4 linked regions of the Struthio camelus genome follow. The protein of the gene in region 4 interacts with the protein of the main gene of each other region in a pairwise test. Links are inferred from orthologs where the notes say so. Each region holds a gene or a part of one and is shown on either strand. Other genes may lie near its edges. The genes, in order: PGAP2, FAM3C, GPR25 and CREB3L1.

Region 1 (7,285 bases), on a different chromosome or scaffold from region 4:
TCTGGCCGGCACCCAGGTAGAGCTGCGTACCCACAGTCTCCTGTGGATGGACAGTCCACAGATCCACTACCCTCTGCTTGAGGAGGAGCCGGGTCCCACGGGGTTGCTGCCAACCTGCCACCTCCATACGGCGTCCTCTAACTCTGACGCTGGCAGAGGGCGAACGGGATCCCTGTCTGTGCTCTGCACGCCAGCCATGGCTTTAGAGGTCTCTATCCTACCTCTCCCACCTCATCATCTCTTCCCATTTGACAATGAAGGATCCTTGCTTACTTCGTCATCCCCACGTGACGCCTCTGAGCATCCTCGCTGCTCTCCTCCGTACAGATCCCGTACTGCTGCTTGGGAGGAGGGGACAGACCTGCACGCGTTGTTCAAGACACGTCTCAGCCACGGGCCAACACCGGCATGAATGCCGCCCGCTCTGCTCTACTCCTTTCCTAACAACTCCTGGGCTTTGATTGACTTTTTCAACTACTCCTGAGCACCGAGTGGAAGTTTCACGAGAACATCTATCGCTCCCCCAGACCTCACTCCGGAGCGGCGATGGTCAGCGCAGAGCCCACCTCCACCTCATTGTAGGCAACCTCAGGAGTGCCTGTCCACATGCACATCACTTATTTCTCTGCATGGAACCGCACTGGCATTTTGCTGCTCGGTCGCCCAGCTGCGTCCCGCCCTGGACGCAGCCCCTGACAGCCTGCCTCACCCTTCCTGCACCAGCACCTTGCCATCGCCAGCAGTCTTCGTCACCCCACTGCGCACGGGCACAAGGAAGACCACAGACACCTGTAACACCCTGAGGTCACCTCCTCCTGCTGCTGTGAGAGCTGAGATTATCTACTCCTGCCTTTTCGCTAGGTGCTTGTGCAGGCACAGACTTCCACGCTTGTGCCGCGGCTGCTTGAAAGCCTTGGTGAGGAACCTGATCCGAACCCTTCTGGGAACCCAAGAGGTCCCTGTCAACCGGACCGCTCCCAGGCACGCGCTTGCGACTCCTCCAGTGCCTCCAAGAGGCAGGAACTCCTTTTGCCAAAGCTGGGTTAACTCTTCCATGAGACACCATCTTTATCTGCAGCTTCGCTAGTTCTGCTCTCCAGTCACCACCCGCCTGCTCAGCACAGACGTCGGCCAGGCCAGGCTGCGCTACCCTCCATCCCTTTTTAAAAGCGGGAACCTCAACCGCTAGTCACGCGGCATCAGCAGCACAATAACGGAGAGGAACGTATCCAAGGTCACGTATCCCGGCGGGGGGGAGAGCGCGGAGCAAGGCAGGATTCCCGCCGCGCCAGGCGCCCCCTTTGCAGACCTCTGCGTTTGGCCGGTGAGAGGCGCTTACCCCGCAGTGGGTGGCTGTCGTCTCCTGGAAATGGAACAGCAGAGACCAGATCACGCAGAAAAGGAAACCAAACAGCGGGCAGAACACGGTGCCAACAGCCAGCGTGGTGAAACGGAGCCGGAACAGGATCCCATCGCGGTCCAGGGGCAGCGGTACCTGTAACATGTCGACGGACCTGCAAAGAAGAAGCGGAGGTGGGAAGGGGACGGAGCAGCCCGTGGCGAAGTGCAGCCCTCCGCCCCCCCCCCCCAAAGGACGCGGCCCCTCTTTCGGGCTGCGGAGCCACCCCCCGGGGCTCCCGTCAAACCCTGGCAGGGGGGAAGCAGCTTACCAGCGAGGGTCGGAGGCCGGCGGCGGCGTGCCGGCCCCCCCGGCGGCGCTGAGCTCCTCGGCGCGGGGGCAGCGTCTGCCGCAAGGGCTGCGTCCGGCTCCGGCTCCGGGCCGTTACCTGCGCGGCGGCTCGGCCATCGCGGCCGCTCTAGGCATCGCGCTGGGGGGGGCTGCGGGCAAACGGGGGGGGGGGGGGGGGGGGGGCGACGTGAGAGCCTGGCCCGGCCCCCGCGCGGCCAAAGCCGAAAAGCGAATCAGCGCTGTGACCGTCCGAAGAGCTCAACACCCCCCACCCCACCCCGGCCCCCCGTGACCCCCCCTCTCGCTCCCAACATGACCCACCCCCAGCCCCCCCCAGCTCCATCCGTGACCCCCCCCGGCTCCCCACTCCCCCCGTCCCCCCCAGCTCCATCCGTGACCCCCCCCAGCTCCTCACTGCCCCCACGACTCCCTCAGCCCCCTGCTCCCCCCCCGGCCCCCTCACTCCCCCCGTCACCCACCCCCAGTCCCCCCCAGCTCCATCCGTGACCCCCCCCAGCTCCTCACTGCCCCCATGACTCCCTCAGCCCCCTGCTCCCCCCCCGGCCCCCTCACTCCCCCCGTCACCCACCCCCAGTCCCCCCCAGCTCCATCCGTGACCCCCCCCAGCTCCTCACTGCCCCCACGACTCCCCCAGCCCCCTGCTCCCCCCCCGGCCCCCTCACTCCCCCCGTCACCCACCCCCAGTCCCCCCCAGCTCCATCCGTGACCCTCCCCAGCTCCTCACTGCCCCCACGACTCCCTCAGCCCCCTGCTCCCCCCCCGGCCCCCTCACTCCCCCCGTCACCCACCCCCAGTCCCCCCCAGCTCCATCCGTGACCCCCCCCCAGCTCCTCACTGCCCCCACGACTCCCTCAGCCCCCTGCTCCCCCCCCCGGCCCCCTCACTCCCCCCGTCACCCACCCCCAGTCCCCCCCAGCTCCATCCGTGACCCCCCCGGCTCCCCACTCCCCCCACCTCCTCCCATGACCCCCCCAGGTCCTCACTGCCCCCACGACCCCCCCGGCTCCCCCCATCCCCTGTGACCCCCCCCAGCCGCCTGCCACCCCCCCGGCTCCCCACTCCCCCCGTGACCGCCCCCCGGCACCTCACTGCCCCTACGACCCTCCCACCCCCCCGCTCCCCGCCACCCCCCCGGCTCCTCACTCCCCCTTGCTCCCCCCGGCCCCCCGTGACCCCTCCAGCTCTCCGCTCCCCCCACGTCTCCCCCCCCCGTGACCCCCTCGCACCCACCGGCCCCACACGGCTCAGTCCCGCCGCCGCCGCCGCTCCTCCCCGTCCTCCCCTTCCTCCTCCCCCCGCCGCCCGCCTCTTCCTGCCCACCCTGGGCCAGGCCGCGCCCGCTCATCCCTCCTCTTCCTCCCGCCTCCGGCCCCACGCGGGGCGCGGCGGGGCCCAGCGCTCTCTGAGGCGGCCCCACGCGGGGCGCGGCGGGCCCGAGGCCGCTCCGGGGAGGCCCCACGCGGGGCGCGGCGGGCCCGAGGGCTCTCTGGGGCGGCCCCACGCGGGGCGCGGCAGGGCCAAGAGCTTGTGTGTCTCTTTGGTGCAGCCCCACAGGAGCGTACGGCGGCGCCGAAGGCTCTGGGTCAACATCGAGCGCCCCACGGGGACGCGCGTGGGGCTGGAATCGCCTTCGGCCCCGCGGGGCGCCTCCCCCCCCCCGGTGGAGCAAGTGCTTCCCCGCGGCGCCCCTTTAAGGCCCTCGGCCCCGCCCGCTGCGTCACAACATGGAGGCGGCCCGGCGCTGCCGGGTTGGCCAGGCCGGGGGAAGTCCCGCCCCCCAACGCCCCGGATGTAGGGTAGCCCAGTGGTGCGGCTGTTCTGGACCCTTCCTCAGTGGCCGCCCTTCCCCCTCCCGGGGCCCGGCCAATCGGCGCTCGGGTCGCCGCAGGACGCGGCGCGTGGCTGCAGCCAATCAGAGAGCAGCAGCCCCTTCGCTTCCCGTTCCCACCAGGGTGAGGTGGGAGGGGAGGGGAGCCGTCTCGCTTTCAAAGAGCGGCAGCCAATGAGCGGCGGGCGCGCGGGGGCGGGGCCGGCCAATAGGGTAGGCGGGAGCGGCGCGCGCGCCGCGGCGCAGGGGCGGCTGGGAGGCGCGCGGAGCGGAGTGTGACGCAGATTCCCTCCCCCTGTGAGGCGGCGGCGGCGGCGCGGGAGAGGCGAGGCGAGGCCCGGCCCGGTGCGGCCCGGCCTGGCGCGGCCCGGCGCTTCCCTTCCCCCGGCCCTTCGGCGACCCGCGCCCGCGGTGAGCGACGGGGACGGCCCCGGGCGGGCGGGGGGCGCCCCGCGGCCTTTGTTGGGCGGTGCCGGGAAAGGGGGGAGGGCCGGGCCGCGGCTCCACGCGCGGCCCCGGGGCCGGGCCGGGCCGGTGAGGAGGGGGGGAGGCCGCGCTGTTCCCCAGCCGCCTCCACCGCGAAGGGGCTGCGGGTGACCTTCGCTGCCGGTTCGGTTCCGCGCCCCCGGCGGTGCGGAGCGCCCCGGCCGGGCCGGCCCCCGCCGGGCCGTGGCGGTGTGGGAGTTTGTCGGGCTGGCTCCGTGGGGGGGGGGGGCGCGCGGGGTGAAGCCGAGCCCTCCGTCCCCACAACCGCTGCGCGTTTACACGTTACCTGTAAACTCGGCAGCGTAGGCGCTGCCCCGCTTTCAGGGGCTTAAAGCGGTGGGGGTCTGGGAGCAGCGCCACGGGTCTGTTAACGCGGTGTTTAAATTATGTTCAGGTATCTTGGTTCAGGCTCTGTTTGGGTGCGGTTTGAGGCTCGTGTTATGTTGCTGTAAAACTATGGTTAGAGCCCTCTTCTTCAGGTAAAGCAAGGGAATGGCTGCCGATCAGGTGAAGGTTGAGTAGGGTGCAGGACTTGATTTGTGTATCGAGAAGATGTTAGAGGAGCGTTTTGGAAAAAATCCCCTTTTACTAAGCCTGCTATTGTTCTTCACTTCTTAGATGCTACTTCAAATATGCTTTCATGGAATAGTTCCTGAGTAAATTTGTTCGATGCTGTGTTTTAAGTGCGATAGACAGTTGTCTGGATGAGGCATTCCCATACCACTGACCTAGGTTAGTAATGTAACTACTTACCTATCCAAGGCATTAGTAATCTAATGAAGACTGAGCTCTGTTTTTGTGGTAGCTTGTCAAACCTGAGCTTCTGAGAATCGGTAGTTAAGGAAGAGGAGGTGCCAAGGGAGAATGAGGAAGTTTGAAAGCAAGTGGGAAAGCTTGTTTTTAAAGTTTTTTGAAGCTTGCTTGCTTTTTAGAAAGTTATTTCAGAAGGAATTTGAGGAAGGATAAAGAGAATTTGATATTAAACGACAGTCATGGTGTTCGACTTTGAAAAAATAACGGCGTAAACAAGGGAACAGTGAAAGCAGAGGGGTCTTGTGAAGCGAAAATAAAATTGAGACCAATCATAATTGAAATATGGTCTGAGAAGTAACTGAATGTTGGTCTTCAAAGAGATTGACGTTGCCCGTGGGGCAAAAGTGAAATAACTGAAAGCACTGTAGAGGAACGAGTAAGAATGCATCTGAGGTGGATGTAAAATTCAAGGTATGAGAGTGCACTCAGACTGGGAATCCAGGTCGCTTGCGTCTTGGAAGTGTGGAGGGATAGGTAGTGTCTTTTTAAGGTGTGCTAAGAGGAGATGTAATCGCATAACTAACAAACAGAGAATGCATTAAATTTGAAGTCTTGGGAGATAGGTTGGGGGGGGGATGATGAATGTTCTTGGAAGCTACCTACAGTTTTGGTAAAACAGAAAAGTTTAGCTTTTGAAGAAACACAGAACACATGGTCATGCGTTCTGTCCCACTGTCCAAAGCTGGTTTCTGCTGAATAACCAAACGTGGTGGTCTTGGCACCACTGTGGGAATGTGCTTATGGAAGAATTGGAAGTACACTTGGAAGATCGTGCACAATGCCGAAGCTTTGGGAGCGGGCCGTCAGTGGGAGATGGAGTTAGGAGGAATTCTCGTACGTTTTAAATATAACGTTACCTTGCATCCCGTGGAAACGATTGTATTTTGTGACAGGCAACGCTCTATTCCAGGAGGCCGATTTTAGTCTGAGGATTTTCTAATATTTCTTCAAACGAGCTTTTTTTACTTAGCCCCCAATCATTTTACGTAAAGTACTCTTAAAGTGTGTAATGAAGTCAGTAAGGCCTTACGGGTGTGAGTGGGAAGATTCTTAAGGCTACGAAATTTCGACGTGTTATTGGATTTACTAGTGTTTTGAATAATTGATGATTACCCCACGCTTTTCTGTGGGGAAAATACAATAGTTTTGCACTGCTGTAGCTTAGCTATTGCTACCAACAGTGAAAAATCTTCCTAGATAATATTAGTACTTTCAGTGGTGGAAGAATAAAAACATCTGCTAGCCCTAATACAGGAAAAAAGACTGCAAATTGTACTGACTAGATCATGATTGAGGGTGGTGTCCCCCCGCCCCACCCCCAGCTTGATAGTATTGAAAAAGGCATTGCATTGTGTCTGTGTCTGCGCTTGGAAAAGAGTTTGGAGAGAGGTAGCGTTGCTAAGTGTTTCTGCGAATAAAACAGTAGGTGTTGTAAGGGGAAATTGGGCCTCTGCCTAAACAGTGTAAGACCTTAAAAAGCCTTTTAGAAAGTTTTTACTGGAGTTAAGAAAATTTTGATACAATCTGTGAGCAATAAATCAAAAGTTGGTGGAAGGTCTACTCCTGTAATACCTGTACAATGCATTTCCTTCATTTCTTGTGTCTTGTTTGAAGTAGCTGGCAAGTAGAGTTTAATAGAAAATTAGCTGTGGAAGATCCTAGAGTGTCACAGGAACAGCTGTTGTACAATGCAAGTCTTTGTGTGCCTTCTTAAAAGAGCGTTTTAGTGGGGTGGACTTCCAGGCACCACAGGTGATTGCGCAAACATGAGTGTTAGGGTGACAGGAAAGACAAATGTAACAAACTGTAGCTCCAGTCTATCATAGAGGACTGTGCTAAAAGTATAACTCTCCTCTACTGATGTAGGCACCTCCCACACCCATGATGTGCCACCAGTGAGACCTCCGTTCTGTTGATGCTTAGGAGATCCAGACAGCATTGGCAAAATTGGTTTTGTTTTTTTCTCTCTCTTCCCATGAACAGAAAAAACTCTGTAGCCAAGGGAGAAGAAACTCACTGGCTGTCCATGTGGAAGTACAGAAACTTGTGATGAAATCTTGATATGTGTTAGAACTCTTATACCCCAGCGTTACAGAAACAGGCCCCAGTCAGACTGTTAGCAGAATAGGGGGGAACGGTATCACGGTATCCACTCTCTCTGATGTTACTGAGATGCGGCATTAGTCAGCTAATGTTGTACTCTGCTTAGCTTCCTGACTGATTTTGCATGGATTGTTTCAAGGATGCTGAGGTTTTGTGATGTTACTAAAGTATTAGTGTTCTAGACTTATTTAGAATTCTGACCATCTGCATGAACTTAAATCTTGCTCTCATGCATATTATGCCTGGACTATTCAAATTAGATTGCTTACATCAACAGTGAGGAAGATGAAAAATGCCTTTTCAAAGTAAGCTTTACATAAATGCTGAATTCATTTTTCCAGGTT
Region 2 (7,577 bases), on a different chromosome or scaffold from region 4:
CATAAGTCCTCAACTTGAACAAAAATGAAACAAAATAAAGAGAAAAAAAAACAGACCTGAAAGTTTGGTAATGCTTTGGTAATGACATGGAGTTTATTTTGACTTATTACAGAAAAAGGGGAGATCTATAAAATACTGATCCGGATTAGCACATCAGCACCAAGAAAGGTTTGAAGTGTTTAAAGTCCTCGCCTGGACTCAGATCCTTCAATTACTTCCTGCTTTTTCTATCTATTGTCACTCAGACTTCTCATATCATAAATCTGATGTTTTGGCTGCTTGTAAACTCACTTCTGACAGGAACGGGGGGAGAGGTCACTAAAGAGAGAACATATCTATTGCAAATATCTGCTACACCATAGGGCACATATTGAATAATACATTTTTGTTCAGACACAGGCTCATTCTGTTTATATAAAGCTTGCTGACACCAGCCAGAAAGCTAATAAAATGGTCTTTCAGAGATGACTTTTCCATACACGTTTTTGCTTGTTTGGAAGAGGAAAGGAGAGGAAAGAGGAGAGAGCCTAAGTCACTTCATGTTGTAGTTTTACATTTTAGTTTCTATTTATAGTTCAAGTGACTTGCAACTTGGTGAAAAACACATTTTCCATTTGCTTCAAGGCAAATTGCCTGGAGCATTCTCTAAGCAACTTTCTTCACTTTCTTTTTTTTTCTTTTTTTTAATAACTTATAAAAGATGCTTAGGGTTTGCATCTTTTTACTTTAGGCAATGTAATACTTATTGTATTAGATGCCAAGATAAGTGTTTTCTATGATTGTGCTGCTGCATGGAGAGAAGTAACTTGTTATACCACAAATTTTCCATGCTTAAGAGAACTAGGTGTCTGCCAGTAGTCTAATGGCTGGCTCATTCAAAACTCCATGGAAAGGTCCACCGAGGCAAAAGTTTTAATTTATAGCATATAAATGTCAAATTTATACTTACCAAAAAAATGTATTTTTTAAAAAACATCAGGAATTGCTCTGATACCAGATCAGAAAATCATAACTGATTAGTAGAATATCTATTGCCAGAGGCAGTAGTCAGAAGCCTAAAGATGAAGTACCTGGAAGCATTTTGATTTGGTATTTTACTACATTAATCTCCATTAGTCTTAGTGCACTAAATAAACTCAGGTATCACTTCACTTAACCTTTTGTAATTATATGATGGCACTGTTATCATTTTCTAAAAAAAAAAAAAACAGTGCAGTGCCATAATTTCTTTTATTAAAAACTAGTAGTTATGAGAGATTTAAGAAAGTAAGTTCAGGTCAAATGCTAGAGATACTAGGAAAGAAACTCTTCAAAGATGTGAGTTTCAGCTTAGGCATTTTTTTCAGCTTATCATGGTGATAGGCCCAACCGTGAAGTTCAACTTTGTTGAGACCCAAAGCACCTCAATTCTTAAGGAACTTTGGCTTCTGATATTTGCAAAATACAGAACCAAAATAAATGCTTACTGTGGAGCTTTTTCTTAGTGTTTAACGGTTGAAGGATACAAACAAGCTATTTTTTGCTTTATAATTTTTAATAAATATAACAATTTTTGGTTTAAAAATTATAAATTTAGAATTTCATTATGTGGTTATGAAACGTATTCCATGTGGTATCCTTGTTATTACTGACTTTCTTAATTTACAGAAGCAAAAATGGTAAATTCATCACAAGCGAGTAAGAAGCAAAAAAAAAAAAAAACCCTAAAGAGATAGATTTCATTTTTACTTTTTATGGAAGTTCTATATTTAATGGCCATAGCCATTTCATTACAAGACAAATTAGAAAAAATTGAAATTGCTTAATCTCATTAATAATAAACAACAGGCAAAAGAGTATCAGACTCAACAAACAACAAATGATTCTTTGAATTAGTAGTGTAAATCATGTAAACAGATTTCTTTCAGCCGAACCCATAGAGGCTACTGTTGCTTTGCCCGGGCACATTTCTTCTAATAATTTTGTTCATATTTGGCTTCATATACAATTGATGGCCTTTTTAGATATACCAAACCTAGGGAGGTGCTGCTTAGCCAATAGAATACATTAAGGAAGGTACTTACAGGGATGTATCTACTGTAGCTAGTAAGGTGTGCTCACCACCTACAACCAGTGGAACGTGAAGCACAACCGACCGCTTTGTGAGGGAGTTTTGGTGATGCATAGAAATGGTATCTTTGGCACCGTGATGCTTGTATGTGATCAGAGCACGATCAGAGCACTGCACACTGGAATCAAACGAGGGTGATCCCATCAGGGTCACTTGCTGTTTAAAAATCACCCAGTGATGCCAGTAAGCTGTGACAACCATAATGTAGAAGCACTTCGCTACGGAGCAACAAATCATAAAAAGTACTTGTGCAAAGGCTGCACTTGTACTGTTATCATGTTCAGGTATAGTATGATTTATCAAAGTGTTACTGTACTTTTTTATTAATGAGTCAGTAATAGATGCCTAACTTCAGATCACAACACTGTGCACAAAGCAATTCAGATTCTGCAGAACCTCGTAAACGATAGCAAGAAGAGATACTTAATATTCAGAGCCATCTTAAGACACTGTGAGGTCTTGAATACTCCCTTTTTTTGGGCTCCTGCCAGCTGCCATATTTCTGGGGAACTTCTGGAGAAACGTGCGTCTACTCCCTGTGTGAGTTGTGGCACCCGTTCAGTCAGGCAGGTAAATAATGACCTTTATTTAATTGTGGCCTTTCTCAAGTCTTCCTTATTTCTTTGACTTCGATACAGATGTATTTTAAGGTGTTGGTTACTGTGCAGATAACAATATTTCCTCTTTTAATAATTTGATATTGCTATTTATGTAATCTCTTGAAAATGTTTGCTTCTATAGCAAATATTTACTTATCAAAGAAGCCAGCCTCTGATAACACGCTGACCTTATTAGTCTGTTACGTGGTAGCGCGACCTGACAGGCAATCAGGAGAACAAGGTGGACTTTCATATGTTAAGCACCGAAATAACTGTCAAATTAAGATATATCTATATCAAATACTTAGAAATAAAAGCTATAAACTCTTTCTTGCTTGAGTAATGCTCCACCCACTGTGTATTTCTTCATTAATTCTGAGATTAAAGTATGCCTGAATCTTCAGTGTGTTGCAAGAATTTAATAAAGAAATTACCTGACTGATGATCAAACAACCATTCTGTACCAAGGGCCCGTTGGTAGCAGAGTATGTTATTTTAAGCTTGTCAAAAGAAAGATCTGTTGACCAGATGTGGTTAAAATAAGAAACTTCCTTTTGTCTATTTGACTCTGACGATGTGTGATATTCCCTATATTTTAGCTGTGACTAAGAACTACCATACCTATTTTGCAAAAACGTTCCCTTCGTAGTTTGACAATAATCTAACTGACCGAACGTGGCTATCTGCAGTCTGAGTACTTGCTATACACACCCCAGCAACAGTCCGGCTGAGGGAGTTACATCGACAGAACTTCTCTCCCACAAAATAAAACGGTTAGTCTGCTGTCAGCTTATCTCCCTGTACCAGCTCACGACAGAGTTAGATGACCAGTGCCTCCCCTCAAGAAAAGAAGAAAAAAAAAAAGCAGCCACAGAGCATTGGTGGAGACAAAGAGGAGAGAGGGATTGCCTTTTCCTTTCTTTTGCAATAACTCAGTTAGATCAGCTCCGTCCTACTGATCAAAAAGGTTAAATAAAAGATGTGTTTTTTTAAAGTAGACAATACCTTCCCTGTTTTGCAACAGAAAATAACTTTTGGGTTAAAAGAGGCTTAAAATATAAAAGAAAAGATGAAATTCGTGCTTTTTATCTGCAAACTCTTCATCCTTCTCCCCCACAAGCCCACTTCCTAAAACTCAACCAGTTTCACCCATGTTATGAGTCTGACTCAGAAGCTCACCCACCGCGACAGACACGGGATAGACGGCCCGGAAAACCAATATAATCCTGGCTCTAGCCCTTGTTTCCTCCTAGCCTGTGACACTAGGTGCCTTAAGGCTGATTTTCAGAGGTACCTAGCACACTTTTTCCCCCTTGTTTGAGCTGGGCTGGTAGCCAGACGGACGGCGGTGGACCTGCGGGCGTGACGGAGGTCACACATTTAGAAGGTCGGGTTTCCTTAAGCTGTCGAAGAACTCGCTGTCACCCCTGCGAAACGCTGCTACAGCAGGCACCAGCGTCAACAGCAGCTAGAAACGATGCGCACAGCCCTGGCCGTAGGGCGCGTGGCCGAGCAGCGGAGGGAGGGGGGCGACGCCGGCCCCCGCGCCTCAGCCCCCGACGGGCAGAAAGACCCTGCGGACGTGGAAGGAAGCCGAGGCCAGGCGGGCTCGCCCACGGACCTAGTGATGGGCGTCAGGACTCACGTCGCCGCCCCCAAAAAACGCGTCTATCGGGTTTTTTTTTTTTTTGCCTCGAGGGCAGCCGCCAACCCGCCGCCCGCTGCGCCAGGGAGCGCGGCAGCGGGGCGGGAGGGCCGGGCTGGGGCGCGGCTGCGGGGCGGGGCCGCGCCGCCCCCGGTCCGCCACCACTAGGGGGCGGGCGCGCCGCTCCGCCTCGCCCCTTCCTCTCTGTCTGCCGCCGCAGCTGTGGCGGGCACCGCTCGGCTTCCTGCTCCGTCGCCGCCGGGCGCTGCGGGCGGGCGGGCCGGGGAGCCGGCGCGGCCGCCGAGGGACACGGGGACGCCGAGCGCCGCGGCCGCCCAGCGCAGCCCAGGTAGGGAGCCGCGTCCTCCGCGGCGTCCTGCGCCCCCTCCGTGCGGCGCGGGCGGCCCCTGCCGCCGGAGCCGGCCGCGGCCCCCGCCGCCGCTCCCGGCTGCCTCTTGGCGCTGTCCCAGCCGCTCCCGCCGCGCCCCTCGGCCGCGGGCCGGGGTCTCCGCGGCTGCCCCCGGCCCTGCTGCCCCCTCGGGGCCGCTCCGCCGCTCGTCACCCCCTGACCTGCGAGCGTGGGGCCGGCGGCGGCGGCTGGGGCTCCGGCTCCGGCAGCCGCCGCGCAGGCAGCGGGAGGCGAGGAGCCGGGTCACCTGGCCGTGTGGTTAAGTGCCCCGGTGTAGGTAGGTAAGCAAGCTGTTTTTGTTGTAGTCAGTCTTTTACTGTTGCCACAAAGTAGTAGCACAGTGTATATATATGTGTGTGTGTGTATATGTATATATGTGTATATGTACATACGTGTATAAGTATTTCTTTCTGATTGGTTTTGCTGTTCCCTCGTTGCGCACTGTTGAGTAGTGGATCATGGGCATCGCTGACGGGGGAGTTAAAAGGATCAACCCGTGTTTAACTCAAACGTTAAATTACAGTGTTGTAGAGGACCGTCCTGAAACGGACAAGGAGAAAGTGCTACGTGTCTAGATCTGCGGGGAGGTAGATGTAGAAGTAGCGTGTGTTTCTTTGGTTTCTACTTTCTGATGTTTGTGATGTAGGAAAACGTATAATCCTTTTATCTGTTTTTCATTACTGTAGGTAAGTGCTACCGTATCTTCAGTTATGGTTTTGTCTGAGTTGCAGACAGGCTGTGTAACTCGCCTGATTTCCTTTTCTTTCAATTTTCTCAAATTTAAAATGGGATTAAACGATATTGTAGCAACTCATGACTTTTAAAAACATCTTTGTATATACATGGCTTTTTTTTTTTTTTGTATTATTCTGTGTTCCCCATAAGTCCATACAGGCTTTGAATCTATGGTTCTCTGTTGCAGGTGAACATAGCTGGCAGTTCTGTTTCTCCACCAAAGTATTATTTAACCCTAACAGTAGAATTATTTAGAAAAAATGAAACGCCTGTGCATATTTGTCCCTTCTTAAAGCCTGTGAGGGTAATCAAGGTACAACTCACTTCGTTAGGCCCAGGATGACCCCTGGCCGCAGAGGGATTCTTTGAGGGAAGAAGTCTTTTTGATCTGTTGGCTTGCATAGTTGTCTGTTTGGCAAAACAAGTTTTGAAACTTGCTTGAAGCCTGAAGACAGACGCTTTACAAGTTAATAGCTTAGCATTGTGTAACAATATCCAATCACTTAAGGATGGAGGAGGTATGTGGTTTTATTGCAGCCATTGCTTCTCTTTCTGTCTATTTACAACAGATCTGACTATCTCATCTAGTAAGAGTGTGGAGTAAGTAGCTAACTGAGGAAATAGCCTGGCTTTACCCACATGTTATTGCCCAGCATCTCTAGATGCAGCCCTAGTGGGACAGGGCATTGAAATTCTACATTTAATGATAATTCTCTCAGCACTGTAAGGAAAGAGGTATAATATAGAAAAAGTTCGAGAGTTTAATGAATTTTTGCCAAGCTAATGTTTAAAATGTGAACTGTAATTGAACACTTAATTTTTTTTTTCCAGAAGATTAGCATAAGGAGAGGGATTTTTTCCTGTAAGATCACAAGATGGATTGGTACAGTATAAGTCACAAAAATATATATCGTTTTGCTTACAGATTATTTTATAGCCTAAAGTGTCCATAAGATGAATCTTTAGCAGACACAGAGAACTTCTTACTTAAGCCTTGGGTTATTCAGATAGAATCTGTTTGTTTAGATTTCTGTTTTTTTTCAATCCGCATTCCCTATGAAATCAAAGGGGTGACCTGGGAGTGTAAGGACTGCAAGCCTTATCACTTATGTTAGCCACCAGTATCTCCCTAAGGCTTAGTATAAATGGTATAGATATTCCGTTTTGAGTTTTCCACTAAAATCTGCTAAGGAAGTTTAGAATTTAAGGTTTAGTTATTGTAAATCACACATTTTCTCTGCCAGTGGCCTGCTGTACAACCCTGTGATAATCATTTTGCTGTCAGTAGCACTGGAATTAATTACAACTCTTTAGCATTCTAGAAGGATCTCTCTGGGAAGTATCATATTTATCTGAAACCGAGGCAGTCTATAAATTCTCAGGATTACTTCAGGAAAAATATAATTGGCAATACCATCAGAAAACCTAGTTTGACAGTGAGGCTTCATGAGAAGGCTGAGCAAATCTAACAGCCTAATGGTGCTGTGCTCTGCTCCCTACCGCTCCTGAAAGTTGTCTGCTAGACTGGCAGAAATGTATTCATTCTCTTTCACTAAGTTAGCTTTTTTTTTTCTTGCTTAGTGAGCAAAACCATGTGGCCAGGGCTGGAGAAAAGGTTTAGTGTGACTCTCTTTTTTGGCAGCAGCAACAACCTGGCAGATGAGATCAGCGTGTCTCCCAAGTTTCTATGCTTTGTAGTATTATCCAGGCCTGAGGCCTAGTGACATGAGAGTGGGAAAAAGTGGCAAGAGGGAAATAACTTTAAACTGGTATTGCTGCATGAAACATCTCTTAACACCAGATTTTTCAATATGGATGTTAAAACATCTATAACATATAAATAGATGCTCCTGCCTTCCCACTTTGTCTTCTAAAAATCGATGCTGAACCATGAACCCAAATATAGACTTTTTTAGTGGGATATGGATTATGAAAGGACCTAAGGAATTTTTTCTTTAAAAAAAAAAAAAAGAAGTTGGATAATTTGTAGTTCTCATTCTTTCCTTTGATTTGTTTGTAGTTCCCTGCATCTTGATATTATCCACAAATTTCGAAAATTTTTACAGTGAGCTATGAATA
Region 3 (7,346 bases), on a different chromosome or scaffold from region 4:
AGGGTGTCTCGTGGATGCTGCTGTTTCATTGGCATGATGGTATTTTATTCCCCTTCGAGGGGGTCAAGGCAGGAAACCCTGGCAGTGCGGGGCGCCGCGTAGCGAGAAAGTGAACGGGAAGAAAAACGGTTTAGAGCCGTTTGGCAGGGGAAAACGCGGGGCGAGAAGGCAAGGGAAACGCTTGCGGCCTCAGTGCTGCTGCTCTCCCATCGATGCCCACGCTCGGGGCCAGCGCGGAGGTGGCCGGGATGCGTCGGCCGCCTCCGAGAGCGCGTGTCCCCGCGCCCGGGCACCCCGGCTGTCCCCCGTGGGCTGTGTGCTGGGAAACGGCAGCTCATTTTGCAAAGCGGCGCATTTAGGAGGCAGGCGGCGGAGGTGGCCGTCCTGCGTCGGCCAGGGCCCGGGATCGGCGGGCGCGGGAAAGCCGCGGCAGAAAGGGCACGGTTGCAGAAAGCCCGTCTCAAAAAGCCCGGCGCAATGGTTTCTAATCGAGTAACCGTGGCTCAAAATTTCCACAAGCGGCCCGGGGCCAGGCTGCCAAGTGCCACCACCGAAAGCGGCGGTTCCCATAGACATCTGCCCCGGTCTCGGCAAAGCTTCTCTGAACCACAGCTGAGCATTAAAACATATTTATTCCACAAGCAGGCTATAAAAATAGCTGTTCATAAGACCGAAATCAATGCTGAAAGTGGGCACGCAGATTCCTGCTTGCAAGCTTATTTCTTTTAACCTGCTAAGCTTATTAAGAGCATTTTATCATACGATTACTTAACAGAGAGAGAGTGCTGCCGTTTTGGGTTGTATGATCACAGCTGCAGTTGTTCCGCCCGTGTTATCGATATATTTGAGAAGTAGAGGCAATCCCACAAAAGCAGCAATAGCCCTGCGAGACACAAACTCAGCAGCTAGTGGAATCGATGCAAGGAATTGCACCACGTGCTGGGGCTGATGCCACCCGCAATGGCTTTAACCCAAGGCTGCTTGGTTTAATTAAGCTCATAATCACACAGCAGGTCTGAAATGATGGCGGCTGCGGAGGGACGGGTCTGGGCTCTGGGAAACCGTCACCTTGCGCCTGCGACGGCATCTGCCTGGCCCCGGTGATGCCCTGGGCAGGCCCTGGGAAGTCGGCAGGGACAAAGCTTAGCAGCCGCTTTGGAAAAGCATCCGAACCCGTGGTGTGGGGAGCTGCAGCTTCACCTGCCGGGACCAACTTTAGCAGCTGTTTTGGAAACGCATCCGAATCTGTGGCGCAGGGCTGTGCTGGAGCCAGGAAACCCCCCCCCCCCAGAAAGGGCTCATCCTGCGCTCCCTCAGCCCCGCAGCTCTCTCTCTGCAATGCTTTGAAGAGATGAGGAAGGTAGACAAGCCCAGGCACTTGCTCAAGCTCAGCCCTCCCCAAATGACCTACTCGTTTGGCCCCCAATCCTTCTCCTCTTGCACTGCTGGCCAGCGCCCCGGCGGTGCGGACGGCTTGGTCCTGACGCCGAACATGAGGCTGGACTCGGTCACAGAGGACGTCGTGGCCATGTTGTGCCCCTTCTCTGCGGGGGAAAGGCAGAGCACCCGGAGAGCCGGGGGCAGCAGCTGGCGCCGGAAATGGCGATCCATCAGGGTGTAAATGATGGGGTTGACGCAGCTGTTCATGAAGGCCAGGCATGTGCTGCTGGTGACGACCCACCTCAAGGCCTCCTCCTCCACCTCGGAGAGGACCAGCATCCCCTTCGCGATGAAGAAGAGCAACACCTTGCAGACATTCAAGGGCAGCCAGGAGCAGATGAAGGCTCCGACGATGGTGAAGATGATCCGGTGGGAGTTCCTCATCCCCTTCCCCAGCCTGATGTGCCTGTGGAGCTGGTAGTAGATGGAGCAGTAGCAGAACAAGATGACCGCCAGTGGCAGGAGGAAGGTGAGGAAGACCATTGCCAGGCTGAAATCCTCCCCATCCTCATCCCAACAGTCATCTCCATCTAGCCGCCGGTACTCCAGGGACGGCGCACCCAGGAGGAGGGACACAACCCAGATCAGCCCACAAGTGACAAAGACGTGCCTCTTGGACCCCGTCATCTTGGTATCCAGCACCTTCCTGATGACCAGGTAGCGCTCCACGCTCAGGGCGGTGAGGAAGAGGATGCTGGAGCAGCGGTTCACAGTGATGGCGTAGCTGCTCACCTTGCAGAGCCCTTCCCCGAGCTGCCAGCGGTTCCCATGGGCGCCTGCCACGACCCAGAAGGGCAGGGTGCAGACGAAGATCACGTCGGCCACAGCCAGGTTCAGCACAAACGTATCCACCATCCTCTTGCTGCCTCTCTTCTTGGCCAGCAGCACGATCACAAAGAGGTTCCCCACGAAGCCAAGGAGGAAAATGAAGGAGTAGAGGATGGGGATGAAGACGGTCATGTAGGACGACTCCCACCTGGAGAAACGCTCCTCCGTCCCCGTGGATTTGGTCCCCACTGGGTAATCGTAGTCTGCGGACAGCACGAAGTCCTCGGCTGCTTGGGGACCCATGTCGGCATCCCCAGCGCCTGGCCGCGAGTGCGGGCAGGGACGGCGGCTCTGGGCCCCGCGGTGCCGTGCCCCCTCCCCAGCCGCCCTGGGCGGTGCTCACCTCGCCCAGTGGTTTGGTTGTTGATCTGCAATCTGCTCAAAACAGTGTTTTGCACTTCCTTTCGTACGGGGGCAAGGGCTGCAGGGTGGAAGGGTGCCGGAGGGTATGAGGTGAGCCGCGTTTAATTTTGGAAACAGAAAAACAATGAGAAAAACAGAGAGAGGAAAGAAACCCCCAGAGGAGGCGGGGGTGGAGGCAGGTGAAGCAGGTGAAGGCCACAGGCCGCAGGTGGACACAAAGCCATCCCAGCCTGGCTCTCTCCCAGGCCTCGTAGGCTGGGGAAAGGGGGAAGGCGCAGGGAAGTTTGGGGCAGGCGGCGGCTCTCGAATCCCAAGGGGTTCCCGGCTTTCTCATTTCGGGGGCGAGACGCGGGGCTGGGGGAGCCCACGGCTCCCAGGGACCGACGCGGCCGCGGCCCCGTTTCGCCCCGAACGGGCTCGTAGGCGCTCGGGCAACCGGCCCACACTCGGTTGATTTACAGGCCGCTGAGCGGAGGCGTGCGGGGCAGGGGGGCGGCGGCGGAGGGCTGATCCCCGGGGGGCCGCCGGCCGCCCGCCTCCGGCCACCGCTCGATGCGCCTCAGGCTCTGCCGGACCCGGAGGAACTCAGGCCGGCGCTCCGGCTCCCGGCCCAGGGCCGCTTCCCGCTCGTGCTGCCGGGAGAGGGGCCGGCGTCGGCGTCGGGGGCGGCCACGGCCCCGACCGGCCCCCCTCGGTTGTCCTCCGACCCGGCCCCCTCTCGGCCCTTCCCCGGATCCAGCCTCCCTCCAACAGGCCTCCCTTGGCCAAATCCCCAAATCCAGTCTCCCCCGGCCGTCCCCCAGATCCAGCCTCCCTCGGCCGTCCCCCAGATCCAGCCTCCCTCGGCCGCCCCCCAGATCCAGCCTCCCCCGGCCACCCCCCAGATCCAGCCTCCCCCAGCCACCCCCCAGATCCAGCCTCCCTCGGCCGCCCCCCAAATCCAGCCTCCCTCGGCCGTCCCCCAGATCCAGCCTCCCTCGGCCACCCCCCAAATCCAGCCTCCCTCGGTCACCCCCCAGATCCAGCCTCCCTCGGCCACCCCCCAAATCCAGCCTCCCTCGGCCACCCCCCAGATCCAGCCTCCCTCGGCCGCCCCCCAAATCCAGCCTCCCTCGGCCGTCCCCCAAATCCAGCCTCCCTCGGTCACCCCCCAGATCCAGCCTCCCCCGGCCGCCCCCCAGATCCAGCCTCCCTCGGTCACCCCCCAGATCCAGCCTCCCTCGGCCGCCCCCCAGATCCAGCCTCCCTCGGTCACCCCCCAGATCCAGCCTCCCTCGGTCACCCCCCAGATCCAGCCTCCCTCGGCCGTCCCCCAGATCCAGCCTCCCTCGGTCACCCCCCAGATCCAGCCTCCCTCGGCCGCCCCCCAGATCCAGCCTCCCTCGGCCACCCCCCAGATCCAGCCTCCCCCGGCCGCCCCCCAGATCCAGCCTCCCCCGGCCACCCCCCAAATCCAGCCTCCCTCGGCCGCCCCCCAGATCCAGCCTCCCTCGGTCACCCCCCAGATCCAGCCTCCCTCGGCCACCCCCCAGATCCAGCCTCCCCCGGCCACCCCCCAGATCCAGCCTCCCCCGGCCGTCCCCCAGATCCAGCCTCCCTCGGCCACCCCCCAAATCCAGCCTCCCTCGGTCACCCCCCAAATCCAGCCTCCCTCGGCCGTCCCCCAGATCCAGCCTCCCCCGGCCGCCCCCCAGATCCAGCCTCCCTCGGCCACCCCCCAGATCCAGCCTCCCCCGGCCGCCCCCCAGATCCAGCCTCCCCCGGCCGCCCCCCAGATCCAGCCTCCCTCGGTCACCCCCCAGATCCAGCCTCCCTCGGCCACCCCCCAGATCCAGCCTCCCTCGGCCACCCCCCAAATCCAGCCTCCCCCAGCCACCCCCCAGATCCAGCCTCCCTCGGCCACCCCCCAGATCCAGCCTCCCTCGGCCGCCCCCCAGATCCAGCCTCCCTCGGCCACCCCCCAAATCCAGCCTCCCCCAGCCACCCCCCAGATCCAGCCTCCCCCGGCCGCCCCCCAAATCCAGCCTCCCTCGGCCGTCCCCCAAATCCAGCCTCCCTCGGTCACCCCCCAGATCCAGCCTCCCTCGGTCACCCCCCAAATCCAGCCTCCCTCGGCCACCCCCCAGATCCAGCCTCCCTCGGCCGTCCCCCAAATCCAGCCTCCCCCGGCCACCCCCCAAATCCAGCCTCCCTCGGCCACCCCCCAGATCCAGCCTCCCTCAGCCACCCCCCAAATCCAGCCTCCCTCGGCCGTCCCCCAAATCCAGCCTCCCTCAGCTGTCCCCCAAATCCAGCCTCCCCCGGCCACCCCCCAAATCCAGCCTCCCCCGGCCGCCCCCCAGATCCAGCCTCCCCCGGCCACCCCCCAAATCCAGCCTCCCTTGGCCGTCCCCCAAATCCAGCCTCCCCCGGCCGTCCCCCAGATCCAGCCTCCCTCGGCCACCCCTGCATCCAGCCCCTGGGGCAATGAGGAATGGACAGAGGGACAAAGGAGGGACGGGTGGAGGCTTGGATGGAGGGATCGGTGCAAGGATGAAGGGAGGAAGGGATGGAGGGAGGAAGGACGGCTGGGCTAGAGGGATGGAGGGGGGCGGATGGAGAACGGAGGGACGAAGGAAGGAGGGTGGACGGAGGGGGCCAGAGGGGTGGCACGGACCTCCTCGAGCCTCTGCTGCCGTTTCCTCAGCTGCTGCTCCAGGTCCGTGGTGGCTTCCCGCTGCTCCTCCTGCCGCCGCTGCCTCAGCCGCCGGCTCTCCAGCGCCCGCGGGAGCTCGGCCGTGTGCCGGGGCAGGATCCCCCTGCGAGGACGGCGGGATGGGCCCCACTGCGGTGGCCAGCCCTGCCACTCCGCTGGCCCTGCTCGGGGACTGTCCCATGCCCCAGCCCCACACCCTGGCCCCACTCACCTCCCGTGGCTGAAGAGTAGCTCCCGGTGCAGCTCCCGATGGCGCCGGGACTCCCGCACAGGGTTTGGCACCTTTCTTGGCTGGATGAGGCCGCCGTGGCCATCAGCAGCTGGGGCTGGGGTGAGGCCATGGCTGCTGTCACCCTCTGGGGTGGAAAGTGGGGGTCACTGGGAGACAGGGTCCCTGGGGACAGGGTCACCAGGCCAGTGGGGTCACCAGGGGATAGGGCCACCAGGGGAAGGGGTCACCACAGGATGGCATCCCTGGTGATGGGGTCACCAGGGGGATGGAGGCCCAAGGGGGATGGGATTCCTGGGGAGAGGGTCACCAGGAGATGGGGTCACTGACAGATGAGGTCACTGGGAGAGCCCATCTCCAGCATCACCACAGGGACAGGGTCACTGGGGATGGGGTCATCAGGGGACATGGTTACCAAGGGATGGGGTCACCTCCAGGGCACTACAGAGGGGGTTCAGAGCCACTCCAGAGGACAGGTCCCACTCCAGAGAGCACCAGCCTGCTGTCCCTGTCCCCAGGCCACCCCATGGTCCCCATCGCCCTTTGGGTCCTCATTGTCCCTTCAGGTCTCCATCACCCTTCAGGTCCCCTTGCTCCTTGGAGTCCCTATTGACACCCTGAGGTCCCCATGGCCCCTCAGGGCCCCCATAACCCTGCAGGTCCCCATCATCCCTTCGGGTCCCCATTGCTCCTCAGGTCCCCACCACTCCCTTGGGTCTCTATCACCCCTCATGTCCCCATTGTCCCTTGGGCCCCTGTGGCCCCTTGGGTCCCCATTGCCCCTCAGGTCCCCACCACCCCCTTGGGTCTCCATCACCCCTCATGTCCCCTTGTCCCTTGGGCCCCTGTGGCCCCTCAGGTCCCCATTGCCTCTGGGGTGCCCATGGCCTCTTGGTGTCCCCATCACCTGTTGGGTCCCCATAGCCCCTCATGTCCCCATTGCCCCTCAGGTCCCCATTGCCCCTTGGGGTCTCCATCACCCCTGGGGTCCCGCAGCCCCGGCAGCACCTACCCGGCACCTCGCTGCTCCTCGTGGCTTTGCAGCCGCCCTGGCGAAGGTGAAGCACGAGGTCAGAGAGGGCCATGGAGTGAAACCCGGCAGGTTTTGAGGGGGACATTGTGGGTCCCTGCCCATCACCACCTGCCCCGTGGACCGGGACAGGATACGGCCATGGGCTCCCCGGGAAGCCAACTTCACTGGGGCCAGTGTGGGGCAGCTGCACCATGGCTGTCACCCAAGGGGACTGAGTCACCCGCCAGCCCCGCTCCAGGTGTAGGTACACCGACACCAAGTGAGTCCCGCATCAAGTGGAGGCTGACCCCACTCCTCCCGTCTCCCAGTGCTCCCCTCACTCTTCCCCACATCCGCCCCTGTGTTAACTCTGGAACCCAAGGATGGCAAGGGGACAGCCGGACTTTGGGCTCTGGGGCATCAGTGCAGTGCCTGGGAACAGGTCTTGGGGTGGCCAGACAGGACCTACCATGCCTTCCCCTCCGAGCCCCGGCACAGGAGAGGCTCCCCCGCACGTCCCTGTCCCCAGGCCGTCCCGGCGACCTGCCACCACTCACCTGCTTGCTCTGCGACAGCCCCATGCACCCGCCGCCGGCGGTCCTTGTCCCACCAGGCGACCGTGAGGCTGGGGGCCAGGGGCGCGCAGGGGCCGAGAGGGCACGGACCAGGTGCGGGGGGCCCAGCGAGCCGCCCCCGTCAGCTTCCCCAGCGCCGCCGGCCCGCGCGGCCCCTGCTCCGCTCGCGAAAGCCATTAAGCCCCGGGATTAGCCCTGCTGGGC
Region 4 (7,986 bases):
TTGTCTTTGCTGAATTTCATGAGGCTTCTGTCAGCCCATTCCTCTGGCCTGTCTGGGTCCCTCTGGATGGCAGCTCCCAGACTTGTTCAAACCAATATTTTTTTTTTTTCTTTTTCAAGCACATGGACCTCTTTAAGGATGCATCAACAGATGTGCTGTCATTACTTCGGTTTGTCACACCTTCAAATGAACAATGCAGAGAATCTTTTTTTAAAGGACATGATGATTAGTTAAGAATGCTAGCATTCAAGAAAGGAGAGTAGTTCAGAAGAATGTAATTCTCATCCCAAATGAGCACAGCCTCATCAGTAGGGAATATGAAGGTTCATCCATCCTTTCTTTCTTTCTGCTTCAATTCTGAACAGAAGAAATCTTCCTAAGAAAAAGTTTCATACTGGCATTTTATGGCCAAAATTCCTGTTTGAAGAAAAATACTTGCTGAACAATATCTGGAAATGTTTGTTCATCTTTGAAGCAAAGGCACTGGCAGCCTTTGAGCACTACTGTGCATGGTGATGCTCTGCACAGTTCTGTGTAAGAAGATCTTCTCGAAAGATTTCAAGATCCCATGAGAATTGCTGGATTTAATAGCAAAATGTAACTGTATTCCTTTCCACCATGTTATCATGCAGAACTGGAACAAAGAGGGTGATATATTATGTTCTGGCTCATGTATCATCAACAGATTTGATAGCTGAGCAACAGCTACAGAATCTCTTCTATTTATCATACACAGGAAGACAAGGTATCAGCTTGACTCTCATACTCCAGGGAAGTTTATGGTGCTGGCAATTGGGAAAAAAAACCAAAGCATTTATTTTTCTACTTGTAAGTTGAGCACAACAGTGCCAGAGTCACTGCAACCTAATGAAAGTGGAGACCAGAGCAGGCAACTTTGAGAAGCAGCATTGCAAGCAGAAAGGCCATTGAAATCAGGTAGGAAAGAGCCAGCCTCTTCATGATCAGTGTATACTTTAAAAACACTGTCCTGGCAGGTGGCACCAGATGGCACTCTTACACAAAAGCTTCTTTTTCGCATGGTCTGCTTGCACACAGAAGATATATTCAAACTATAAGGAGGTACCCTGTGTGTTTTAAAGGGGTTCCCTGCCTTCTTATTGCAGTCCATGTTGGACCTATATAAAAGGACTGATGTTACGCCCTATTATTTTCATGTAGGTAAGGGAACGGTCCTGGCATAAAGCACTTCTCTATCAGCACAGCTTCATCCACTTTGGATGTAGATGGAGTTAGGGAAAACACAGAACTCATAACAACAGGTCTTTCAGCTGTGAGCAAACAAGGCCTCACAGTGCGAGCAAGCATTCAGTCTCAGGGTGACTTGCCATCGGCAGTTCTAGAACAAGGCGAGAGTCTGCTGCCTCCCGTAGTCCCCAACTGGCATCAGTCCCTGAGGCACAGCAGCGTCTTGGAAATTAGGAGTTGGTGAGATTTCTGAGAGACAGGATTGGCTGCTGATAATCTCTCTTACAGACCCACTGTGTCTCCACACACCAAGTGTGGTACACTTAACATATATGCAAATTCTGCTTCTCTACTATCTCCTTCATAAGGGAGGCAGCATAAAAGGAAGGGCTTCAGGCTTCTGCTTAGGAAAGCAGAAGAGGATTTATCAGGTGCTTAATGGCTATAGCCCCCCTTTCCCTGCCCCCTGCTCCTGTGTCATAGTGCTGGCATCACCCCTACTCCCATTGCAAGGCTAGTGCTCAGAGATGCTCACAGTGCTGCGCTGAGAGCACAGGAGGTGCCAGTATTGTGGCAAGGGAATAACAAGTCAGGGCTAAAATCTCTCTGCCTGGAAGCTTGGTCTGTGGCAGGCACACTGTCCCGTGGCTGAGGCTGCTCGGAGGCTGGGGGAGCCCCGAGTGCAGGCAGTGCCTCTCTGCCGAGCGTGGGAGGATCCCCCACCTTCACCCCAACCCATCCATGATGTGAGACCCTTCCCCTTCCTCATCAGGGCAGCATCCTCCCTGGTAGAGGGGCAGCAAGATTTGCAGCACAAATTTCCACCAAAGACACAGCTCCCATTGCTCAGGCAGGACAGCAAAGAGCCTAGGGGCAGCGTTCAGGGAGCTGCCGGACTCAGGACTCGCATGACTCCACAGAGAGGCTGGGCAGTTTCCTTAGAGGTGAACAATGCCCCTTTGGTTTCTTGGGACCGGCAATACATTTTTCTCCCAAGTCACTCTTCCCCCTCACTCTTCGCTCCAAAGTAAATCCTCCCAGCTTTAACAGGCGGGAGATGCTTCATCTCCCAAATGCCACTCCGCAAAGAAGTTATAACCACATGAAAACAGAGGCGTTGAGCCGAAAGGTCTCCCGACACCACCCGACCGTGCGTGCCTCCCGCGCTGTCTGAGCCGAGCCGCGGCAGGTTGCGCGCTCCCCCTCGGACCGCACGCCTCTCTCCAAGGCAGGAGTCCTTGAAAAGGGCATGTTAGGAAGAATCGGTCCTCTTCCGGCGGGTGCCTGTGGCGGGCAGCGCCGGGGTACCGCGCTGCAGGATGCCTGCGGGCAGTGGGGCGCGGGGCTGGCCCCGGGAGGCGCTGGCCGTGGGCGGCGGGAGGGCCGGCAGCCCGGGTACCTGCCCGCCGCGCGCCGGGGCGAGCGCGCCCGGTGCGCGCAAGCCCCGGGACAGGCACCCGGGCACACGCCGCCCCGGGAGCCGGCTGCGCCGCGAGAGAGGCGCCGAGCCCCGACGCGTGCCCCGTCCCAGCTGCGGCGGGGCCCGCCGGGACACCCTGCCGGGGCGGCCGCCCCCGCCGGGGGCACCGCGCGGGGGCTGCCGGCGGTCGCCGCCGCCCGCTGCGCCCCTTACCACATTGCTGAGGAAATCCGCCTCGCTGAAGTCGCCGAGGTCGAGGAAGCCGGGGCCGCCGGCGGGGAAGAGCCGCTCGGCGGGGAAGGGCTCCAGGATACTGTCCATGGTGCCCGCGGCGGCGGGGCGGCTCCGCGGCTGGCCGCGCTCCGCCGGCCGGGCTCACTGCGGCGCGGCGCGGGCAGGGCAGGGCACGGTCCCGCCGCCCAGGGGCCGGCGGCGGTCCATGGGGCGGCGGGGCCGCGGCCGGGGGCGCGGCGCCGCCGCGGGAGCGAGCTGCCAGCGGGGGGCCGGGAGCGCCGTGCCGGGCCGGGCCGGGCCGCGCCGGGGTCCCGCTCGGGCCAGCTGTCAGTGGCCGGCTCCGGAGGGGCTCGGCAGGCTGCACCGCCCGGCCGGCCCGGCACGCCCCCGCCTCATGAATAGGGAAGCGGCCGCGGGGCGGGACTTGCCTCGCCGACACCCCCTTAAGGGAGCGCGGCTGCCGCCGGGCAGCACCCTCGGCCGGGCCCGCTCCGCCGCCGGGCGCCGCGCTGCAGCCCCCCCCGCGCCCGGCAGGGCATCCCCCGCCGTGCCCCCAGCGTCTGCCCGCGATGCCCCCGCTCACCCCCCCGCGGGGCCCCGGGAAGGGATCTGGAGTGCAGCGAGGAGCAGGCTGGAGGCAAGGTACCAGCCAGCCTCCTCCTGAGACTCCCCCATCTGCCCCAGGACACCAGTGACTAGTGGTGAGGGGCTGGGTGACCCGCTGCCATGCTCAGAAGGCCCTGGGCCACCAGGACCACCGGGAGGGCAAGACCTGCAGCTGCCCGGGGCTGGCTGGGCCACCAGGCCCTGGGGCTGCCTCGCTGCTCCCCGGACAGCAGCGGGTGCCTGAGGGCAAAACAGATCCCCAGCAGTGTGATTTCAGTTTGGTGAACTGAGCAAACCCTCCCTTTAGCAGATCCAGAGATACCACTGCAAGCTGATAGGCAATGGCGGTCTGTGGCGGCCCCTGAGTATCCCTCAGGGAGCAGAGTCAGAAAAGATGGGTCTTCAGAGAGCTCAGTTCCTAAAGTGCAGCCACAAGCCCTGCAGGGAGATCTTCTTGCCATGGCTCTCAATAACAGGCTTGCAGGTGGGCCTGGCTGCAGCAGCCCATCCGACTGCTCTGTAATTAAGGAGCTTCAGGAAGATTATATGGCTTCAGATAAATAGGATTATGGATCCCTGTCCTCTCAGATCCTTATTCCAACCAACACTCAAGAAAACCACTTATAATAATCCTGTTGAAGAAACTCTGATGTTTTATTAATCTGTTCCTGCCTTCATGGCTCCACGAAGGGTGGCCAAGAGTCCCAACTCCCAGCAGTGGCTTTCTTGATCACAAGCATATGGATTAAAAAAAAAAAGACAACAGTGCATCTCTCCTGGGAGAAATGTAGCTAGAAGTTGCCAACAGTGAGGGTCACTGTGGGGAAATGCAGTTCTGAGGCTTGCTGGGGCCTGTGTCTGAACCAGACGCTAGGTTTCCACTGTGTGGCCCTCATGGGCTCTTGCCATGTTCCACAAAGACCTTAGGACTATCACCACTACCCTAGACACTCCTTGGCTGCTCATCACACTAGCCTCCACGTGCTACCTTCCCCACATAAAAGCCTTTATACTGGTACACACAAAGGGCTCTTTCAGTTACATTTACTTTTACCTTATGTTTCAGTCAAGTGTAAAGAGCCTTCAGGTAAAACGGCCAAAGATATAAATTCGGCCAGGATGGAACTGTGCTGCTGTTTTCACAAAGTCAGTTAATTTCTTACGTATATGAGGGAGGAATGGCATTTGGAAATCATCTTCTAAAGAGAGAAGACACTTGCAGTTTCTGCAAAGCAGTACTTGGATCCTATTGCAATAAAATGCTGGGAACAAAACAAAATACGTCTTCTCTGTGAATAGGATCAATGCAGGCCCTGCTCTCCCATCACTTTGATGGGGCATCATGAGCAACTCACACTCTCACGCTTCTGGAATGGCATAGCCATCGCATCCTGATCCCTCATGCTCCAGTGTACCACAATAACTGTCCAATCACTGCCATTAAACAGATAAAATAATGCTGTTCTCACCGGACTGTTCCTCTTTCCTTAATGGTAAAGAAATAGCTTTGTCAACAAGGGAGCCAGTGGGTATAAAGCTGGAAACATAGAAACCTTTACCACTGTAAGATGAGGAGAAGAAATGGGTCCAGACCCTTCAGAAAGCGGTGAATCTCTATCTCCAAGGAAGGTGACAGACATATTTCCTTAAACTTAACAGTTAGAGGAATTCTCAGTTCTGGTGGGGTAGAAGGACCAAGGACTGCAATAGTAATGGTGTTCCAGATGAGGGTCAAGGTGCTACAACGCTTTGTTGTAGAGCTACAACAGGGGAAGCTTCCACCACCTGTCACTAACCAAACACGGATATCACTTCCGTAACTGCTAAGATTTACCAATGAAATTAAGCGTTTGTGGTTCAGGGCCTCACCCAAGTTAACACAAGGAAGCAGGAGAAGTCAAGGCATACACTGTATTTATCCTCAGTGCAGGCAGAGGAATCTGAGACGGTGAGTTACAGCAACTGTTTGCACTGAATGGGTGGCGGTGTCATCAGAAAAGGTCAAGCAAAGTAAACCTGACTTGTTTGTCTGCATTGTAAAGGGAAAATGCTTTGGCACAGTCCAACAGGAGTTCTGTGAAGTCTGCCCTAAAGATTCAAACATCTCAAAAATATGAAATTGTCTGTTCTGAGACCCTGTTTGTATTTCATATATTTAGTACTGAACATAAATGCCTCAGACTCGGTCTACTGAAGCTGTTGCTGTACCTCTGCAGGTGAGGAATGATTGTAACAAATCTTCCTTTTCAATATCTGCACTGCAAAGCTAGTCTGTCCCATCCTGAAGAACTGTGAAGGGAAACCCCATCTCCAGCACTTTTATGAAGCTTTGCAAGAGACAAGTAACACTCTTCCCACGTTAGACATGAGTGCAGTCCAGTAAAGGCAACACAAGCGTAGTTACCTCTGCGTTCAGTGAGAATCACTGCTGACCCTTTGGAGCCAAAAAGGAGAGTTATTTCTGCAGACTAGCAGTTTTGTATTCCAAAAGAGACCTGAGGATAAAGAAAGTGTTGATGGGGTGAAGGGAGATAACCAGAATTCAGAACGATCTGGTGCACCTCACTGGGGTGTACACACTGAGGGCGAGGAAGGACAGGCCGAGTAGCAGTTCTGTGGAAGAGGCCTGGGAACTATAGGGCTTGCAGCGCTTGAACAAGTGTTAACAGTGTCTGTAGCTGTGAAAAAGCCAAGTGCCATGCTGCGATATAAATGCAGAAACCCTCCTACAAACCTTTAAGACATATAAGAGCTCCCCTTCTGCCCTGCAGAGTAGTGGTGCAAAACACAGTGTTAGCCAGAACATCATATCCCTCTGGGCTTGCACACCTCGAGGAAGGTGGGACTAACGGGGCAGAGTCCAGAGGAGGGCACTGAGAACAACTGGAAGTCTACAAAAAAACCTGAGAGAACTGAGCTTCTTTTGTCTAAAGAGAAGAGTCTCATGCCAGCAGTCTTTAGGCATTCAAACAATTGTGGGAAAGAGGAAGGCAATAATTTCTCTCCATTGCCACAGTGAAGGGGACAAGCAGTAACAGACTCACATCCTAGTAAGGAAACTTCAGAACAGGTCATAGAAAAAAATACCTAATGGCAAAAATAGTGACTAGGTGCCTGGGAGGTGGCAACGTCTCTACCACTGGAGCTTTTTTAAAAGCAAGTTCTGCAGACATCTCTTGGGACATAAATATCGCCGATCAACATCCACCCTTCGGGCAGGGGCTGAATCACATGATCGCTCAAATTCCTTTTCAGCCCTATTTTATCTGATTTTATATTTAGGTTTATTTGCAATCTGATCACAGAAAGATTCTGAAAGAGCAACCAAGTATGTTTAGACTGAACAAGCCCCAAACTGACCACAAAGAGGCCCTCCTGGCTTTGCAGCATTTGATACTGCAAATGCACATATATGACCAAGATCATTGCTGATAATGGAATAATCAACCAAATTTTCATAACAAAAGGATCCTACTCTTCTGTGCTCCGTTCTGCCTTGTCTTGCTGCTGCTGCTTTCCTTTATACCTGTGAAGAGAGAGAGAGTAGGAAATGCAAGTCCCTCATCATATCACTTTGCGCTCACTTTGCCTTCACTCTGCGCTGTGGCGGGCAACGCATACAAGGCAAGGGAACCAGACTCTGAGCTTGAACATGTGCACAGCGATCCAGTCCATTTTGCAGCCCACAAAGCTGAAATTTTTGTTTCCCTCCAGACCGAGCCAGGAGGTTTGACAAACTCATAGAGAATGAGTGTTTCTTGAGGAATGTGGGCAAATTGCATATGTCAGTGATTTCTGGTTTGCTGCATGCATACTGCCTTGTTACAGGAGGGATCATCTGGCTGATGTTTGCCTTCATTTTCAGCCTAGAAAGCCAGTATGGGACTGATTCACACTGTTAGAACTGTTTGCTTTGGGGTTCAGACTGGTTTTAGGGACTGCCACCATAGCACAAAGTTTTTACTTCAAGTATGGCAATGGATACCATTTGGTCTGTTTATTTTTCCAGCTTTGGTGATCATATGAATGGAACTGCTGGCTTCTACCACAAGCCATCTTCCTAGCCACTAAGGCTTTCCGGAGCCCGTGCCTTGCAGGCTCCATATTTTGGCCTATCAGTAGTTCTTTCTAGCTGTCCTGCCTTTATTTCTCTCCAGTTCTTCTCTGGATGTGATTACCTCTGGGTATTGCTTGGTGGTGGGTTTGCTCACTGACCTGTGCGCCACAGATTGAGGGAGCAACTGCTGTGCTCTAGGTCCCTTCTGCTCCTCAAGTCCCACCAAAACAAGGTGAGGATGGAGACAGGACTTTCAGCCTAGTTCAGAGGAGAGGTACTGCAGTCGCCAGACAGTCTCAGAGAGTGTAAGACCCATCATACAAGTAGCCACAGATCCAGCATTCAGGCTGCAATTTCTTCATTTGGTTTTTGCGGGAATGATTTAAAAGCTGTGAAAAAGTCAAGACAGGAGGCGAGGAATTTACTGAAACATCTTCTAACAGAAGGTCACTTTCGAGGAGGG

What was found.
Region 1: the proteins of CREB3L1 (region 4) and PGAP2 interact in binary tests that used the Homo sapiens proteins (3 or more experiments, as listed by UniProt). The two-hybrid records come from large-scale screens. The link is inferred for Struthio camelus from reciprocal best matches to the Homo sapiens genes CREB3L1 and PGAP2.
Region 2: the proteins of CREB3L1 (region 4) and FAM3C interact in binary tests that used the Homo sapiens proteins (3 or more experiments, as listed by UniProt). The two-hybrid records come from large-scale screens. The link is inferred for Struthio camelus from reciprocal best matches to the Homo sapiens genes CREB3L1 and FAM3C.
Region 3: the proteins of CREB3L1 (region 4) and GPR25 interact in binary tests that used the Homo sapiens proteins (3 or more experiments, as listed by UniProt). The two-hybrid records come from large-scale screens. The link is inferred for Struthio camelus from reciprocal best matches to the Homo sapiens genes CREB3L1 and GPR25.

What each region holds. Positions count from the first base shown.
Region 1 is NC_090942.1:224,221,329-224,228,613, reverse strand, and holds the start of PGAP2 (post-GPI attachment to proteins factor 2), read right to left. Parts: upstream 3,002-7,285; 5' UTR 2,942-3,001; intron 1,840-2,941; 5' UTR 1,671-1,839; intron 1,534-1,670; exon of another isoform or gene 1,515-1,533; 5' UTR 1,505-1,514; coding exon 1,340-1,504; intron 1-1,339.
Region 2 is NC_090942.1:26,047,948-26,055,524, forward strand, and holds the start of FAM3C (protein FAM3C), read left to right. Parts: upstream 1-4,568; 5' UTR 4,569-4,703; intron 4,704-4,923; exon of another isoform or gene 4,924-5,040; intron 5,041-7,577. UniProt on the Homo sapiens protein: May be involved in retinal laminar formation. Promotes epithelial to mesenchymal transition.
Region 3 is NC_090965.1:4,031,835-4,039,180, forward strand, and holds the start of GPR25 (probable G-protein coupled receptor 25), read right to left. Parts: upstream 3,011-7,346; 5' UTR 2,512-3,010; coding exon 1,408-2,511; 3' UTR 1-1,407. Other genes in the region: uncharacterized protein, read right to left, coding at 3,087-3,263, 5,288-5,429, 5,538-5,682, 6,568-6,604, 7,125-7,319. UniProt on the Homo sapiens protein: Orphan receptor.
Region 4 is NC_090946.1:40,126,513-40,134,498, forward strand, and holds the start of CREB3L1 (cyclic AMP-responsive element-binding protein 3-like protein 1), read right to left. Parts: upstream 3,010-7,986; 5' UTR 2,948-3,009; coding exon 2,840-2,947; intron 1-2,839.